Caenorhabditis elegans: one gene and its partner. The protein of the gene in region 1 interacts with the protein of each later gene in a biochemical or structural test. Each region holds a gene or a part of one and is shown on either strand. Other genes may lie near its edges. The genes, in order: ppk-3 and slc-36.1.

Evidence for each region.
Region 2: the proteins of ppk-3 (region 1) and slc-36.1 form a complex in vitro, tested with the Caenorhabditis elegans proteins (one study listed by BioGRID).

What each region holds. Positions count from the first base shown.
Region 1 is NC_003284.9:12,969,530-12,977,634, reverse strand, and holds the start of ppk-3 (1-phosphatidylinositol-3-phosphate 5-kinase), read left to right. Parts: upstream 1-1,991; coding exon 1,992-2,070; intron 2,071-2,119; coding exon 2,120-2,245; intron 2,246-2,419; coding exon 2,420-2,533; intron 2,534-2,585; coding exon 2,586-2,921; intron 2,922-3,112; coding exon 3,113-3,381; intron 3,382-3,439; coding exon 3,440-4,033; intron 4,034-4,192; coding exon 4,193-4,687; intron 4,688-4,734; coding exon 4,735-4,826; intron 4,827-5,143; coding exon 5,144-5,779; intron 5,780-5,836; coding exon 5,837-6,047; intron 6,048-6,205; coding exon 6,206-6,940; intron 6,941-7,177; coding exon 7,178-7,578; intron 7,579-7,740; coding exon 7,741-7,993; intron 7,994-8,105. Other genes in the region: F11C1.9 (uncharacterized protein), read left to right, coding at 84-224, 272-391; F11C1.10 (Photosystem reaction center subunit H), read right to left, coding at 403-543.
Region 2 is NC_003281.10:13,305,866-13,313,775, forward strand, and holds slc-36.1 (Amino acid transporter transmembrane domain-containing protein), read left to right. Parts: upstream 1-1,636; 5' UTR 1,637-1,642; coding exon 1,643-1,801; intron 1,802-1,865; coding exon 1,866-1,946; intron 1,947-2,003; coding exon 2,004-2,092; intron 2,093-2,843; coding exon 2,844-2,936; intron 2,937-2,984; coding exon 2,985-3,069; intron 3,070-3,120; coding exon 3,121-3,298; intron 3,299-3,629; coding exon 3,630-3,727; intron 3,728-3,862; coding exon 3,863-3,978; intron 3,979-4,790; coding exon 4,791-4,850; intron 4,851-6,232; coding exon 6,233-6,338; intron 6,339-6,390; coding exon 6,391-6,454; intron 6,455-6,980; coding exon 6,981-7,087; intron 7,088-7,153; coding exon 7,154-7,285; 3' UTR 7,286-7,524; downstream 7,525-7,910. Other genes in the region: Kinesin-like protein klp-19, read right to left, coding at 51-1,163, 1,217-1,327.

The DNA of each region.
Region 1 (8,105 bases):
ATTTTCTGCCCATCTTCAGTCTATTATTCCTCATTGTTAAGAAATAATATAAATTAAACGTGCTAGCATTTGAAAGGGCCATCATGAATTCAGATAATTCAAATCGACGATCATATCTATTCTTTTTTCCGAAAGTTCGTTATCGCACCGAAATTCAGAAAACTAATCAGATTTCTATTTTTGAATATGTCAGCAGAACATTATTTGCAACGTGGTGGCAACCAGTAAGTAATTTTTTATGTTCCTTTGCAAATTTTTGAAAATCTTACAGCCAATTGCAAGTCAAGAAACTACTACAATACGAGATACAACTACTTCTACTACTGCTGAACTGGAAACTGCTCCAGAAACTGCTCTAGAAGCTGTGGACGAACCAAAATGGGACCTGTAAGTTTTTCTTACCGACATTCTACTCCACCGTCCGCTAACTTCAACCCATTCCACATTTCTCTGTATATCAATCATATTCACTGAACCGCGAACTCTTCCGGTCACACGATCAATTGGAAATGAATCTATTTCGTTTTCTTTTGAAAAGCTCATAGTGAATACTGAAATTTGCCATATGGGGAAATTGTATTTAAAAAAAAAAATATAATAGAAGCAAGAAATTGTCAACATGTTAATAAAACATAATCTGCATTTTCAGATAGTTAATAAACTTAGAAAAAAAACGGTATTCTCAAAAATTTGTACGACTCTCAGTAACTTGCTAAATAAGTAAAAAGGCAACAAGTGTGGTAAGGTCGCGAGACTAGCCGGGGGCCGATTTGAAAAATGAGTAGGAGATGGTCTCTCTAGAGGGTGTCCGGTGCCGACGAGATAAATATTGGGCGAATTCACTTGGGGGCGTCGCCGCGGCATCTTGGCGGGGCTCACAATTTTTTCGATGCTCAGAGATCAATGGTGACATGCCGTGGCCAGTGAGAAAATTTGAACGAGGAAGCATGTGAAAAGTTGGATAATATAATTGGTACTTTAATTAGCATTCCAGAATTGTAAAGCATGACATGTGAAATATTGTTCTATTATGACGACTTATACTTCGGTTAATTTCAGTATTAGCAAAAAATCTGTCAAAAACGTAGAAAAATATTTGCACATATTTTGTCGAAACAGTTACGGTAGAGAGGAAAATGTATATACATAATGTCATTTAATGCTCTTCTGGATCTCGTCTGGTCTTAAAAGCATTGTCTGTCATGTATTTTTTGTAGGTTGAAATTGAAAATTGTCTTACTAAAATTTGTTATTTATTTCATAAATAATTACTTTTAAACCTCAACTTCACTCATAAGAACAGCAATGCTTATGAGGAAGTATTCGTCATAGTTTGGTGGTACTGATTGAAGCAATACAGACATTACAGACTCATCACTGTGACCAGCTGCACATTGCGCAACACGTTTGCAGTAGTGTGGCAAAGTTGCATCTGACATGCATTCCCAGTTTTATTTGATTTTTGTTCACGCTCCTGGTGTTAATTTTATTAGTTGTGATCGCAGAGCATGAGATTCTGCTCTTTTTTTGGTTTTTGGTTTCCCATACATTATTGTCGATTTTCGAGCGGAGTTGAGAATAAAACTTAGAAAAAAATTGCACTTTTTTCAATATATATAAGAAAGATTTCGCAATCTTTTCTGAAATATCAATATGAGTTTTTTCCCGGGAAATAAACAGCGAAACATGGAACACTGCATGTACACACCTTGTTTTTTTCCGCCTATCCGTCTAATTGCGCGGGAATAACTTTTCTTTGCTGACCCAAAGAGGTCAGCAAATGCGCTCCTCTGCCAACACCCTCCTGTTTTAGCACAGTCTCTCGCTAGCAACACTGCCTCCGCAACTTGCCTGTTTTGATGGTTTGATCTTTCTTTCATTTCCCCATGCCGCTCACTTGGATCTCTTCCTTCTTTTTCTCCAATTAAATCTCTCTGCTAGTGCTTTGTTATATATTTATCCAAATACTCGGATCTATCAATTCCAGAGTAATGGGGGATGCCAGCGAGTTGCAGTTTTTTGAAAAACTCGAGCCACCACCAGAAACAGAAGAACCAACACCAGTTTCCGGTAAGTTTTTTGTGTGATTTGAATTATTTTTATTAATAAAAGTTGATAGTGTCTTCAGGTGGTTACTTTTCAAACATTATTGGGCAAATATTCCGAAGCGATGGATCGCCGCAGCCAAACGGAGTTGTGCCTCCCACAGAAGAAAGACAGAACTTGGAGAGGACGGAGTCTGGAGGTAGATTTTCATCGACTAAAAATATATAACAATTATTTTGTGCATTTTTCGGAGAAACAAATTTTGCAATTCATTTCGATTCTGATGAATTGTTTGATTTTAATAACTCTATAATATAAAAACATCGGAAATTTTCTTATTATCTGATCGACAAACAATGATCCTCTATTCCAGAATCCCGAACATCCGAAGAAAGTGGCTTTCAAAGATCTTTAACCGATAAGTTCACAGGATTACTCAAATCAAAAGTTAACCCGCAGCTCAAAGACTACAACGACAGCAATTTCAGTAAGTATTTCATATTCTATAAGCACTCTGACGTCAATTCAAATTTTTTTAGAACAATACTGGATGCCTGACTCAACGGGAAGAGAGTGTTACCAGTGCGAAGAACGGTTCACAACTTTCCGACGACGTCATCATTGTCGACTTTGCGGACAGATTTTCTGTGCAAAATGTTGTAGTAGTCACATTGACGGAGCAGCTTTGGGATACATGGGCGAGCTCAGACTTTGTGATTACTGTGCTCGAAAGGTTCAACGACTTGCCGAAGAGGGAAAGCAGACGCCGACGACGTCGACGACAAGAAGTCAGACGCCAGTGAACAGCAGAAAAATTAGCTTTGATAGGAATACTGCACACAAGAATTCGGATACTGTGAGAACAGTTTCGAATGGTGAGATTTTCCGATTCCAAGAGGGCATTAGGATTCTTAGTTTAATTTTTTATTGTCTTTTTAAAAATGTATCTACGAGGCTTGAGCTTTCAAGAACACTGGCAGTTGTTCATATTTTCACAACGACATAACTCTATTAGTTTAGCTAAACACAAACATTCTACATAGAAATTAAAGACAAATAATTTCAGGAGCTATTTGGTCACTCTGCCCCCCAGAATCGTCGATGCCTCCGGAAATTACATCCCCACCTCAACTTGGAAGCCGCCGCAACTCGTTGGCTCAAAGTAGCAATGGTCCAGGAGTTCCGACAATTCTATCAGTTGCGGATCTCTGTGCATCAAACTCGGCTATGCTCACAAACAGTCATTCCCATCCAATGATCACCGAGGAAGAGGAATCGGGACCAGACTGGTTTCGAACAATGCATCCTGGAATGGACGGTGTTATCAACAATGAAGTGAGGAAGCTTAAATATTTAATTGTGGAAATAATTTATTATTTTGTTTGACTTTCAGACTTCCGACTCAGCTGATGTTTTTGCGTATGCAAATCTCGCTGGAGCGATAACCAACGAGTTTACAGAAATGATGGATGCCAGAGCTGCGGAGCCAACCTCAGCCACTACTGATCGTAAAATCACCTTTCCGTCCCTGTCACTTGATGAATCCGTTATGAACGCAGCGAAGGAAGAACAGCGGGACAATTTGGAAGAGTTGTTCCGCCGAAATACTGAACGAATTCTAGACGAAGTGATGAAACGAGAGTACATCCGAGAAGACAAATGGAGAGATCTAATTCTGAAGAGTGTCTATGAAGTAGTGGAGAATGTAACTGTGAACGTTCCAAGTGGAGACACAATGAATATTGCTGACTACGTACACGTCAAGAAAGTTCACAAGAAAGAAGGGAAAGTTGATTCGGAAATCATTTGGGGAGTGGCTTGCAGTAGAAGTTTAGTCTACAAAAGTTTGTCAGAAGAAGATGAAAGCAGCCATACGACCGAGTCAATTATGATTGTTAGCGGTTCAATTGAATATGAAAGAGTCTCAAACAAACTTTCATCTATTGAGCCGATTATTGTGCAAGAAGAGAAATTTTTAGAGAAGCAGGTGCGTATGTTCATGGAAATAGTCATTAACTGTGTGTGTGTCAGATTTAGTTGCTAATCTAAAAGTTGACAATATGAATAAGTACCACACGTCTGAATAAATGCACTTGTATTATACAACCATTGAAATCGAAACTAAATAGAATAAACAATTTTCCAGATTGATCGAATTGCCACCAAACGTGCTTCATTGATTCTAGTGGAAGGAGGAGTCTCGCATATCGCTGCTCAACTGCTTCACAAGCGTGGAATCAAAGTAGCGGTCAATGTGAAAATGAGTATATTACAACGTATTTCAAGAGCCACTGGAGCTGATATTGTCTCAAACTCAGATTCTCAGTTGGTTGAGCAAAATTTAGGATGTTGCCCGGAATTTCAACAACGGAATATGCAACAGGAGGACGGAAGGATCAAGACTTTGATGATCTTTGCTGATTGCCAAAAGGAAACTGGATGTACAGTGCTCTTGCATGGAGATGATTTGAAAGAATTAGTGGCCGTGAAACGTGTTGTGCAGTTCCTGGTCACTATTGTCTACTCTAATTACTTGGAGCAATCCTATCTAAATGCTTTTAATACTACAATTGCGAGGAGACAATCTGATTGCGTTGTTTGTGAAAAACGCCGTGCTATCGTTTACTCGCAGGGTGAAAAGGTTGATGGTTTATCAACATCGTTTCTCATATGTTTTTGTATTTTCAGACTGAATTTGAAAAGAATCTCTATGCGACGATGCTGTCAAGCTCACCAGTGATTGAATTTGAGCCACCACTTTTGGAGACTGCAACCGGGAGGTGAGTGAAAAGAGCGCCTCATAAAAATCTGCAAACACGGTCACGTCAGAGTGCACACTGCGGGCAATTTATGAAATAATCATATTAAAGCAATTGTAAAAGTTTTGCCTAACACAACACTAAACCTAGCCTAACATAGAAGTTTTTTAAAAATATATTTCTAGCATGAATATCTAATCAGTTAAAAAGATTAGTTTACAATTCATGAAAACGACTTCTATTCATAAAAATATTTTTCAAAAACATGCATAATTTTTCAACATAGATTCAAAATTAAATTTAAAAAAACACCAGAAAAATTTATTCACAAATTTCAGGGAATGTCCGCTCATTGCCTACTTCAAGCAACCACTGTATAAACTTTTAAAGCCTGGCGATGTTGAGCTCATCAAGCAAGGATACGAAGAAGATATTGTACCTATCCCAAAGAAAGAACCACTTCTGGTAGACCGTCGACACGCTTTTGCTCAATGTAATCGTGGTGCGATCCTTGACAATGTGGCAAGATCTTTCCGCCTTTTTGGAGGAATCAATTTTCGGCGACGAACTGCTCAAATTGTGAAGCATAGAAAAATTGTGGAGACCGAGAAGCAGCCATTCCGTGCAAAGGATGTTTTAGATCCAAGAGTTCATCAGACACTTGCTGTCCTTTTTGGCTCGTTTTCTCGAAAGTCACCCAACGCTCCGTACTTTTGTGTACGTCCGTGGGTGGTAAGTATGCAGTACTACAAGGACCATGATATGACAATCGGAGAGTTTCTTGTGAAGTTCTGTTTTAATCGTAGTTATGAATGTCCGTCATCAAACTGTGAGGTACCTATGCTGGATCATTCAAGAAAGTTGGTTTATGGAAAAGTTTGCGTAGAAATTTCAACTCAAACTGTGAACGAAGCAGAAAACGCCATAGAATCAGAACAGCAGAAGAGCATCATGACATGGCGAAATTGTGGAAAGTAAGAACATTATTTTCGCTTTTATTAAACTTTTTTTTTAAATTTCGTTATTTTCAGATGCAACTGTTCATCACAAATGGTGAAATTTGACAAAGCAATCTGGCATCTGTCGTTTGCAAAATTCTTAGAGTACATTGGAAATTCGTGCTTCACCACCGACACAATCTACCCAATAACTAATCAGAATCAATGCTCGCATTGCTTTTTCCATGAAAAGTTGTACTTTTTTGCAATGGATAATTTGGTGACAACATTCAAAGTAATAGCGGTAAGTTTTGTTCAACAAAAATTGAAGAAACAGAAACATACTAAAAATACAAAGTATTTAATTTTTAAATAGTTTTAATGTTTGAGAAGCGATTTTTTATTTTAATATAAGCATACTTTATAAAACTTTATAAAATCAGCAAAGCCTTATATTTTCAGATACGCCCCTACAGTGTTGTCTTCTCGCCCATCATTTGCAGCGTCAAGGTTTTGAAAGTGAGCAGAAAAGAGCTCTCGGACGATGTCAGCAGGATAGCCACTCTTGCGCTGACTGCTTGTGAGGACACCAACAAACAGCTGGCAGAACTTGATGAGGAAGTTCAGATCACTCCGATAGTTGTCAAACTGGCTGGTGCAATCCGGAACACAATGGCATTGGCAAGCGAGAGCAGGATGTTTGCTAAAAACATTCTCTCTGGTGATGAGGATCTTATCCGGTCAAATGATCGGTTGTACAGAGAAGTAACTGGCACATTTATGAAAGTGAGAGAAGTAACATACAATCTGATTGCTCTTTGGAATGAGAATTGTGCAGCAATTAAGTATCCCAAGAGAACTCCAGAAGATATTCAAGAGATTGCCACACTTCAAAAACTGGAAAATCCGTTTCCCTCTCATCTTCACCTTGCCATCAAGCTACAACCCAGACTTGGAGTAGTGGTACGAGATATTCAAGACACTCGAGGAAACTTCAAGCCAGATATTGGGAGTATCATTGCATACGCATTGTCTGCAGTTGACTACAATAAGATCCCTGAGGCAGCTGACACTGTTTCAATGGACTCGGCTAGCTCTTCTCTGAAATTTTCACAGATGGATGATGGGGAAAACCTCGCTTCTAGTCAACACTTGGAGGTGGAATTTGAGGATGAATCTGCGTCATACTATGTGAAAGTAAGTCTGCTATATATTATGAGAAAATTCCCTTGTAATCTCACCCTCAATTTTTTTTGTTTTTGTATATTGGAGCCTTTATTTTCAGATGCCTCATTAAAAAGTGCAACATTTTCAATTGGTCTAGGGCACATATAGAATATTAAATAAAGTTGTTATTACGTCTAGACGCTGAAAATAGATGTAATGTAAAAAAATGGGCCTTAAAATGTGACAAAATTATATCAATTTTTTCAGATGCTGTACGCCGAGAAATTCCGAAAACTTCGTGAACTTCTCATTGCAGAAGGAGAAGAGACTTTTATCCGTTCCCTCTCCAACAGCACTTTCTGGACACCACAAGGTGGAAAATCCGGCTCATTTTTCTACCGCACTCAAGATGATCGATTTGTGGTGAAGCAAATGTCACGGTTTGAGATTCAGTCATTTGTAAAGTTTGCCCCCAACTATTTTGATTATCTGACAACGTCGGCGACCGAAAGCAAATTGACGACCCTGTGCAAAGTATATGGAGTGTTTAGAATAGGATACAAGAGCAAGACGACTACATTGAAAGTTGACATTCTTGTAATGGAGTACCTGTTTTACAATCACAATGTTAGCCAAGTCTGGGACCTGAAGGGCTCTCTTCGGAATAGGTGGGTTATAGGTATATACTGATAATAATAGTACAAATAACCAAATTTTCCCGGTTGTTGTATTTAGATAATTTCTGACGTACTTTGCTTTTAAGTGTATTATGACTAATTGATCATACATTTTTTCTTTGTGTTTTTAAAGATCATATGACGTTTTTTTAGACTCGCATCGACTGGAAAAAGCGCCAACGAGATGGTTCTTTTGGACGAAAACTTTGTGAAAGACCTCTGGAATCAGCAGCTCTATGTGCTGCCGCACTCAAAAGCGGCCATGAATCAAGCGATCAGCAATGACAGCCACTTCCTGAGCTCTCAATACATCATGGACTACTCGCTTCTGGTTGGTGTCGACGATGACAACGGAGAATTGATTCTGGGCATTGTTGACTACATGAGAACGTATACGTTGGATAAGGTCAGTGTTTGAACGTTTAACTTTGCGATAAACTCTGATTGATTTCTGGAATGAACATGACTTTTTGATGAGAAGTTTATATTGACGTAGAGCTAGGTAGAAAATTGACAAA
Region 2 (7,910 bases), on another chromosome or scaffold:
ATTGACATTGATATTGGTCAGCATTAGAATAAAAAAGCTTTAAAACCTACCATTCGAATGATGCACTCGGATTGCTTCATAGCACGCTCCTTCAACTGCTCAGTCTTCCGAACAACTTCCTCCTTGAGAGAAAGAATCTCTGCAGAATTGTTCGCATCGTTGAAGCGGACTTCAGCCGGCGCGATTCCTTGCTTCAGGTCAGCATTCTCTTTCTGAAGGCGCTTCAGTTGAGCTTGTAGGATGGCGATCTCCTCGGCTTTCGGATTTTTGTTGACTATCGGCTTGTTCTTGATCTGCTTGGCACGATCTGCATAGCGAAGCGTGTTGAGAGTCTCTTGAGAGTTGGAATCAGCGGGAGAGATGCAGGCAAGAAAGACTGTGAACGAATTTCCACCGAGAGAATCTTGAAGGACGCGGGTGATCACAGAGTTTCTGTATGGGATGTGCTTCTGCTTCGTGGCCAACGCTGCGATGACTTGGGAAAGAATCAAAAGTCCACCATTGATGTTGATGCCTTCTTTCATACGATTTCCTTCGGCTTCCGTCTTCTTCAGCCTCTCGGATCCAGCCAAATCGACCAATTGGAGCTTCGCGCTGAATGCGCTATCACACTCTGCAGTGGCAGTTTTCTCCACGAACACTGTGAAAACCGCATGAGACCTGCTGGACATGGCGTTCATCGCAGTTTCCGCCTTTGTTCGATAGTGGCATCCGACTGCCAGCTGCTTGAGCGCTCCCTTCAAATCGATAACAGGAACTGCCGTCAGATTCACGACGGTGCAGTTCTTCTCGTCTCCGTGCACATTCAGCTTGACTTTGTCCGGACGAAGAAGGTCGTACACGTTGTCTCCGTAGACCTCGAACATGGAAACGGTCACCGCAAACGATTCTGGAGCCTCGGTGTTCATGATTCTTTGGAACAACGCACTGACGAGACGCGGAATAATTCCACGACGCATTTCGTCGGTGCCAACGTTGTCTTCAGTGCCCATGGTGTAGGTCTTTCCACTTCCAGTTTGTCCATAAGCCAACACTGTCGCATTGAAACCCGCGAAAATTCGATCCAACAAGGGCAGTGCAGTTGTCTCGTAGACGCTCTCCTGATCCGACGTGTCAGCAAAGACCGCATCGAAGGTGAACGTTGCCGACTCGTTTATCACTATCTGAAAAACAAAGATTTTAGGATTTTTCGGATAAAACGCAGGAAAAAACTAACCTGCTTTGTGTTCTCGTAAAACTGGACACATCGACTTGCGCCTTCCTTAGTCTCTCGACCATTCATAGGCCGAGCACGGACCACAACCCGGAGAGAAGCATCGGAGCTCATCTCGGGAAGAAAACACGAAAATGAATGATTTTTCACGAATGAATGAGAGGGGGGGGGGGCGGAGGCTTTTGAAATCAAAATTTCGCGCCGCGAGTGTATTTACGGACAAGACGTCAGAGTTCACGCACAATTGCGGACCCAGTGAAAAAAAAAATGTTTTTCTGTTTTTATTTAATTAATGAAGAAGTTCTTCATCATTTTGCTCACTTTTCTCTGTATTTTAACATGTTTTCTTCCCGAGATTAAGCCATAAACCTTCGAAAATGAGCAAATTATCACTAAATATATTGATTTTAAAATAATTTTCAGCGAAAAATGGCGAATCCTGCCAGAGACGGCTATCAGGAATTTGATAATGAGCCGGAGGCCCCCGGAGATACAGAGGTACAGACACCACGAAGAAATACAGTTTCCGAGGACACATCGTTATTTCAAGATCGTCTTCCGACAGAAAATTCGTTGACTCCGGAGCAGGTGGATTATTTTTACTTTAAAATTTGTTAAAAATCAATTTTAAATTTAAATTTTTATAATTCAGGCATTCATCCACATGGTCAAAGCAATGTTAGGAACCGGATTATTGTCCCTTCCGCTAGCTTTCAAGCATTCTGGGCTTTTTGTTAGTTTTATTTTCTTCGCCTTTCTCTGAAAACCTGAAAACCCCCATAAATTCCAGCTCGGATTAATTCTCACAGTGCTCATCTGCCTGATATGTTTATATTGCATGCGGCAGGTCGTTTTTGCCGCTCATTTTGTGTGTAACAGGTGATTTAAGCGATTTTTAAAGGCGGAGTAGAGCCAAAAAAAAGTTTTTTTTTTGCTTCAAATGACAGAAAATATACTCAAATAACCGAATATAACTGTAAAAAATTTGAAAAAAATTCTAAATTTTTTATTGATTTTTTAAGTTTTTCAAAAATCAAAGAAACGGCCGAATTAAATAGTTTCTGGCTAAATTCGTCGTTTTTTCTAGATTTTTCTTCTATATTTGATTTAAAACACCATTGGCCAATTTTTAAAATAGTTTATCATGAAAAAATTAATAAAAAATATTAAATTGCGGATTTTGACATTTCTGGCAATTTCCTTAGGGTTATCAAGTTTTTTTTTCACGGAGAAACGGTTAAATAATTGATAAACGGTGTTTTAAATCAATATTTAACCGTTTTTCCGTTAAAAAAACTTGATAACCTTAGGGAAATTGTCATAAATGTCAAAATTGGCCTAAAATCCGCAATTTAATATTTTTTTAATAATTTTTTTCATGATAAACTATTTCAAAAATTGACCAATGGTGTTTTAAATCAAATATACAAAAAAAAACCGAGAAAACCCGACGAATTTATCCAGAAACGATTTAATTCGGCCGTTTCTTTGATTTTTGAAAAATTTAAAAAATCATTTAAAAAATTTAGAAAAATTTATTAAATTTTTTTACAGTTATATTCGGTTATTTGGGTATATTTTCTGTCATTTGAAGCAAGAATTTTGCTATTTTTGATGCAATTTTTTTCAGAAATGGTCGAGATCTCATCGATTATGCGAATATTATGCGAGGCGCCGTGGAAATGGGACCACCGTGGATAAAGCGGAATGGATACTTCTTCAAGTACGGGGAATTTTAAGGGTTTTTAACCCCAAAATTCTTTAATTTCAGACAACTTGTAAATGTAAATATGTTCATCTCTCAACTGGGCTTCTGCTGTGTATATTTTGTGTTTATGGCCGATAATTTGGAGGATGTAAGGGAAATTTTCCGAAAAAACTTACTCAAAATTAAGCTTTAATTGCAGTTTTTCAACAATAACACGTCAATTCATTTGTCAAAAGCAGTTTGGATGCTTCTGCTCCTTATTCCGATGCTCTCAATTTGTTCAATTCGTCGTCTTTCAATTCTTGCTCCATTTGCAATGGCTGCAAATGTTGTCTACGTGGTTGCAGTTGCCGTTGTTCTGTTTTTCTTCCTTTCAGGTGTGAAAAACTGGTTTTTTTCTTAGAAAATTTGAAATTCCCGCCAAAATGTATTTTTCTCAAGAAATTTGAATTTCCCGCCAAAAGTTGTTTCCCCGAAAATTAAAAAAAATCTCGCCGAAAAATTTAAAATTCCCGCTAAAGTTTTTCGCAGAAAATTTGAATTTTCCGCCTAAAATTTTATTCAGAAAATTTGAACTACCCAACAAAATGTAATTTTCTCAAAAAAATTTCTCTGAAAATTCGAAATTCCCGCGAAGATGTTTTTTCCAGAAAATTTGAATTTCCGTGAAGCCTCAAAAAAAATTTAAATTCCCAATTTTTTTTCCAGATCTCCGGCCAATTTCTTCTCTCCCGTGGTTCGGAAAAGCCACGGATTTGCCACTTTTCTTCGGAACTGTAATGTTCGCGTTCGAAGGAGTCGCTGTGGTAAGCGGATTTTCTGGAGATCGATCTGTGAATTTTGCAAGCCTGCGGCACGGTTTTAATGGCAAAACTGGCAAAACTAGGCTCCGCCTTGACAGTTCGAATAAATTTATTTATATAAAATCCAACTAATTTCAGATAATGCCAATTGAAAATCGAATGCAATCTCCACATGCGTTCATTTCTTGGAATGGAGTTTTGAACTCATCCTGCCTTGTCGTTCTCGCGATTTTCAGCGTTACTGGATTCTATGGGTACGGTGGGAAACAAGGAGAAATTGCCGAGTTTCTTTGAAAAAAAATTGAAAATTGTTAGATTTTCTTTAAAATAATCAAAATTTTTCGATTTTTCTGAAAAAACAAATTGGAAATTATTAGATTTTCTCTGAAAATAATCAAATTTTTCTGATTTCCTGTGAAAAAAAAATCAAAATAGTCGATTTTTTCTGAAAAAAAATAAAATTTCGAGTTTCCCTGGAAAAAAAAACAATTTTTATCGATTTTCTCTGAAAATAACATTGACAATTGCTAGATTTTCTGTGAGAAAAATCAAAAATTTTCGATGTTCTTTGAACAAAATAACAAAAATTTTCGATATTTTTTGAAAAAAAGCAATTTTTTTCGTTTTTTTCTGAAAAAAAATTGGAAAATGTTAGATTTTCTCTGAAAAAATCAAAATTTTCTGATTTTCTGTGAAAAAAAATCAAAATTTTTCGATTTTCTCTTAAAAAACTTAAAAAATTTCGATTATCTGTGAAAAAAAATAATTTTTTTTTCGATTTTCTCTGAAAAAAAAATTGAAAATTATTAGATTTTCTCTGAAAAAATCAAGATTTTCCGTTTTTCTGTGAAAAAAATCAAAATTTTTCCGATTTTCTCTGGTAAAAATTACAATTCTTTCGATTTTCTCTATTTAAAAAAAATCGGTTTTCTCTTTGAAAGTAAAACTTTCCGATTTTCACTTAAAAAAATATAAAAAATTTTGATTTTCTCTTGCAGAAATTACAATTTTTTCGATTTCATGGGAAATTCCTAATTTTCTTTAAAATTTTTTAATTTTCTTCCAGATATTTATCACTTGGAAATGATGTCAAAGACACAGCTACCCTCAATTTGCCAATGACACCGTAAGTTTAATGATGAAGAGAGAGAGTGAGAGAGAGTTTAGAGAAGCAGAGATAATTGTTTGGACTTTGATCAACTGACCGTTTACGCTTTTGTGTCTGTGTATGTGACTCAATAATAACAGAAGAGAAATTAAATAACAAATGTGTTACGAATTGGGGGCTAACTGAATAATAATATTAAAAAATTGGATTTTTTCAGGTAAAATCGAAAAAATTCTTCGAAAAAGTAAATAGAAAATTTCCGATTTCTCGTTTTTGAAACGATTCGGAGTAAAATCAAAAAATTTCAGTTTTCAGAGTGAACCGAGAAATTGCGGATTTTGCTTAAAATCCCTAGAAAATCTCTTTAAAAGTAGAGAAGTTCGCGAAAATTTCCGTAAATTCAAATTTTTTAATTTCAAAAACAAATTGTGCTATATAAATACGAGGAAAAATCAAGAAAAATCAAGAAAATCAAGAAAAAACCAGTAAATTTAGCTGGGTAACGTAAAAATGCAATAAAAATTTTTTTTTTAATTCTTTTAATTTTTGAGACTGTTTTCAATCATTTAGAGCGAAATTTTTATTCACAATATTGCTATAATTGCTTGGGACACAATTTTATTGTAAAAAAGGCAGAAATTCTTTTAAAAATGCATTGAATACCAGTTTTCCTTGCTATTAAATTTTTTAAAAATTACTTTTTAACAATTTCAGATTCTATCAAACGAATTTGGGGGTTAACTGAATAATAATATTAAAAAATCGATTTTTTTCAGGTAAAATCGAACAAAATTCTTCAAAAAGCTGAAAAATTTCCGATTTCTCGTTTTTGACACAATTCAGAGAAAAATCAAAAAATTATATAACTCAAAAAATGAATTTTTTTAATTCGAAAAACGAAAAGTTGGGGAAACTGTACTTTAAAAAAGAGAAGATGTAGTATAAATATGTGGATTTTGTTTAAAATACTAAGAAAATCTCTTTAAAAGTAGAGAAATTCGCGGAAATTTCCGTAAATTCAAATTTTTTAATTTCAAAGTCAAGAAAAAACCAGTAAATTTAGCTGGGTAACGTAAAAATGCAAAAAAAAATTAAAAAAAAACATTCTTTCAATTTTTGAGACTGTTTTCTATCATTTACAGCGAAATTTTCATTCACAATATTGCTATAATTGCTTGGAACAAAAGTTTTTTTGTAAAAAAGGCAGAAATTCTTCTAACAATGCCTAAAAAATAATTTTTCAAAATTACTTTTTTAGCAATTTCAGATTCTATCAAACGATAAAATTAATGTTCACGAACTGGGGGCCATCAATAAAAAATATGTCAAAAAAAAAAATAAATAATGAAAAAATTTTTTTTTTTTTAAATCAGAATAATTTTAAAAAAATTCAATTTCAGATTCTATCAAACGATAAAATTAATGTTTGTGGCGTGCATCATGATCTCCTATCCTCTTCAATTCTATGTGCCAATGGAAAGAATCGAAAAATGGATTACTAGAAAGGTTTTTTGGAGAAATTTCCATGAAAATTGGTCAAAATTCTTCAAAATTTCAGATTCCCGTCGATAAACAAACATTGTACATCTACATTGCCAGATATTCCGGAGTTATTTTGACTTGTAAGTTTCAAAAAAAAAATATTATTCGCAAAAATTATTTTTTTTTTCATTTTCCGTTTAAAAAAATCTAAAATTGACCTAAATATCGATAATTTAAGTTTTTTTGTTGCGGAAAAATTGTGTTTCAAAAATAATAATCAAATAATAAGTTTAGAAAAAAATCATAACAAATTTAGAAAATTTTAATAAATTTTTAAACAGTTATATTTGGTAAATTGAGACTTTTTCTGACATTTTTGATCAAAAAAATAAAATAATTGGTCTAAAAATCGATAATTATACATTTATTTAAACTTTTTTCGCAGAAAATTGTGTTTCAAATCGATAATGAAATAAAAATTGAGAGAATTTCGGTAAATCCAGACTTTTTCTGAGACATTTTGGAAATATACTATAAAAATTGCACATAAAAATCAAAGGTTTTTTTTCAGGTTGATATCAAATAATTAATTTAGACGAGAAAAAAATTATATAAAAATTTAGAAAAAAACTGATTTTTTCTAATTTTTTGAAAAAAAATTTCCAGGTGCAATAGCTGAGCTTATTCCTCATTTGGCTCTTTTCATCTCATTAATCGGAGCATTTTCTGGAGCTTCAATGGCTCTTCTCTTCCCTCCGTGCATTGAACTTTTGGTAGGAATTTTTGAATTCCAATTTTTTTAAATTAATTAAAAATGAAAAAAATTGAATTTTTTTCAGACATCCTACGCGAAAAACGAGTTGAGCACTGGATTATGGATCAAAAATATCGTTCTTCTCACTTTTGCCTTTATTGGATTCACAACGGGAACCTATAGTGCACTTATCGAAATTGCAAAAACTTTTGCATAGATTTAAATATCTATAATATTTAAATATTTTCAGCGTTTTAGCTGGAAATTCCCAGAATTTTATTGCACCTTTATGGAATTTTTTGGAATTTTTTTTTGTATATTTCGTGTCCTTCCTTGTCGGTTGTTCAATTTGTGATGATGATTTTTTCATATTTTTGCGGCATTTTTTTTTCATTTTCGTTTCATTCCCGAATAACATGTACTATTTATTTTGTTAATAAAATTCGAGCTTCTGTGAATATTTTTTATCGAATTTTTTGAAATATTATTTAAATGTGGTATCAATTTTAACCAATTTATTTAAATATCTCGATTCAATTTTATATTACCCAGCCGCAAAATTTTGCAATTTTCACACTAAAAATACGGTACCCGGTCTCACAACGACAATATTTTGTTAAATACAAACGGGCGTGCACCTTTAAAGAGTACTGTAGTTTCAAACTTGTGTTGCTGCAAATCATGAAATTCCGTACGTTTCAACAAAAGTTTGAAATTACAGTACTCTTTAAAGGCGCACACCTTTTCCGCATTTAACCAATATTTGCCGTGGCGAGACCGGGAAAACCGAAAAATTGGAAAAATGTTTAGAAAATTAACAAAAAAAACTATTTTTTATCAAA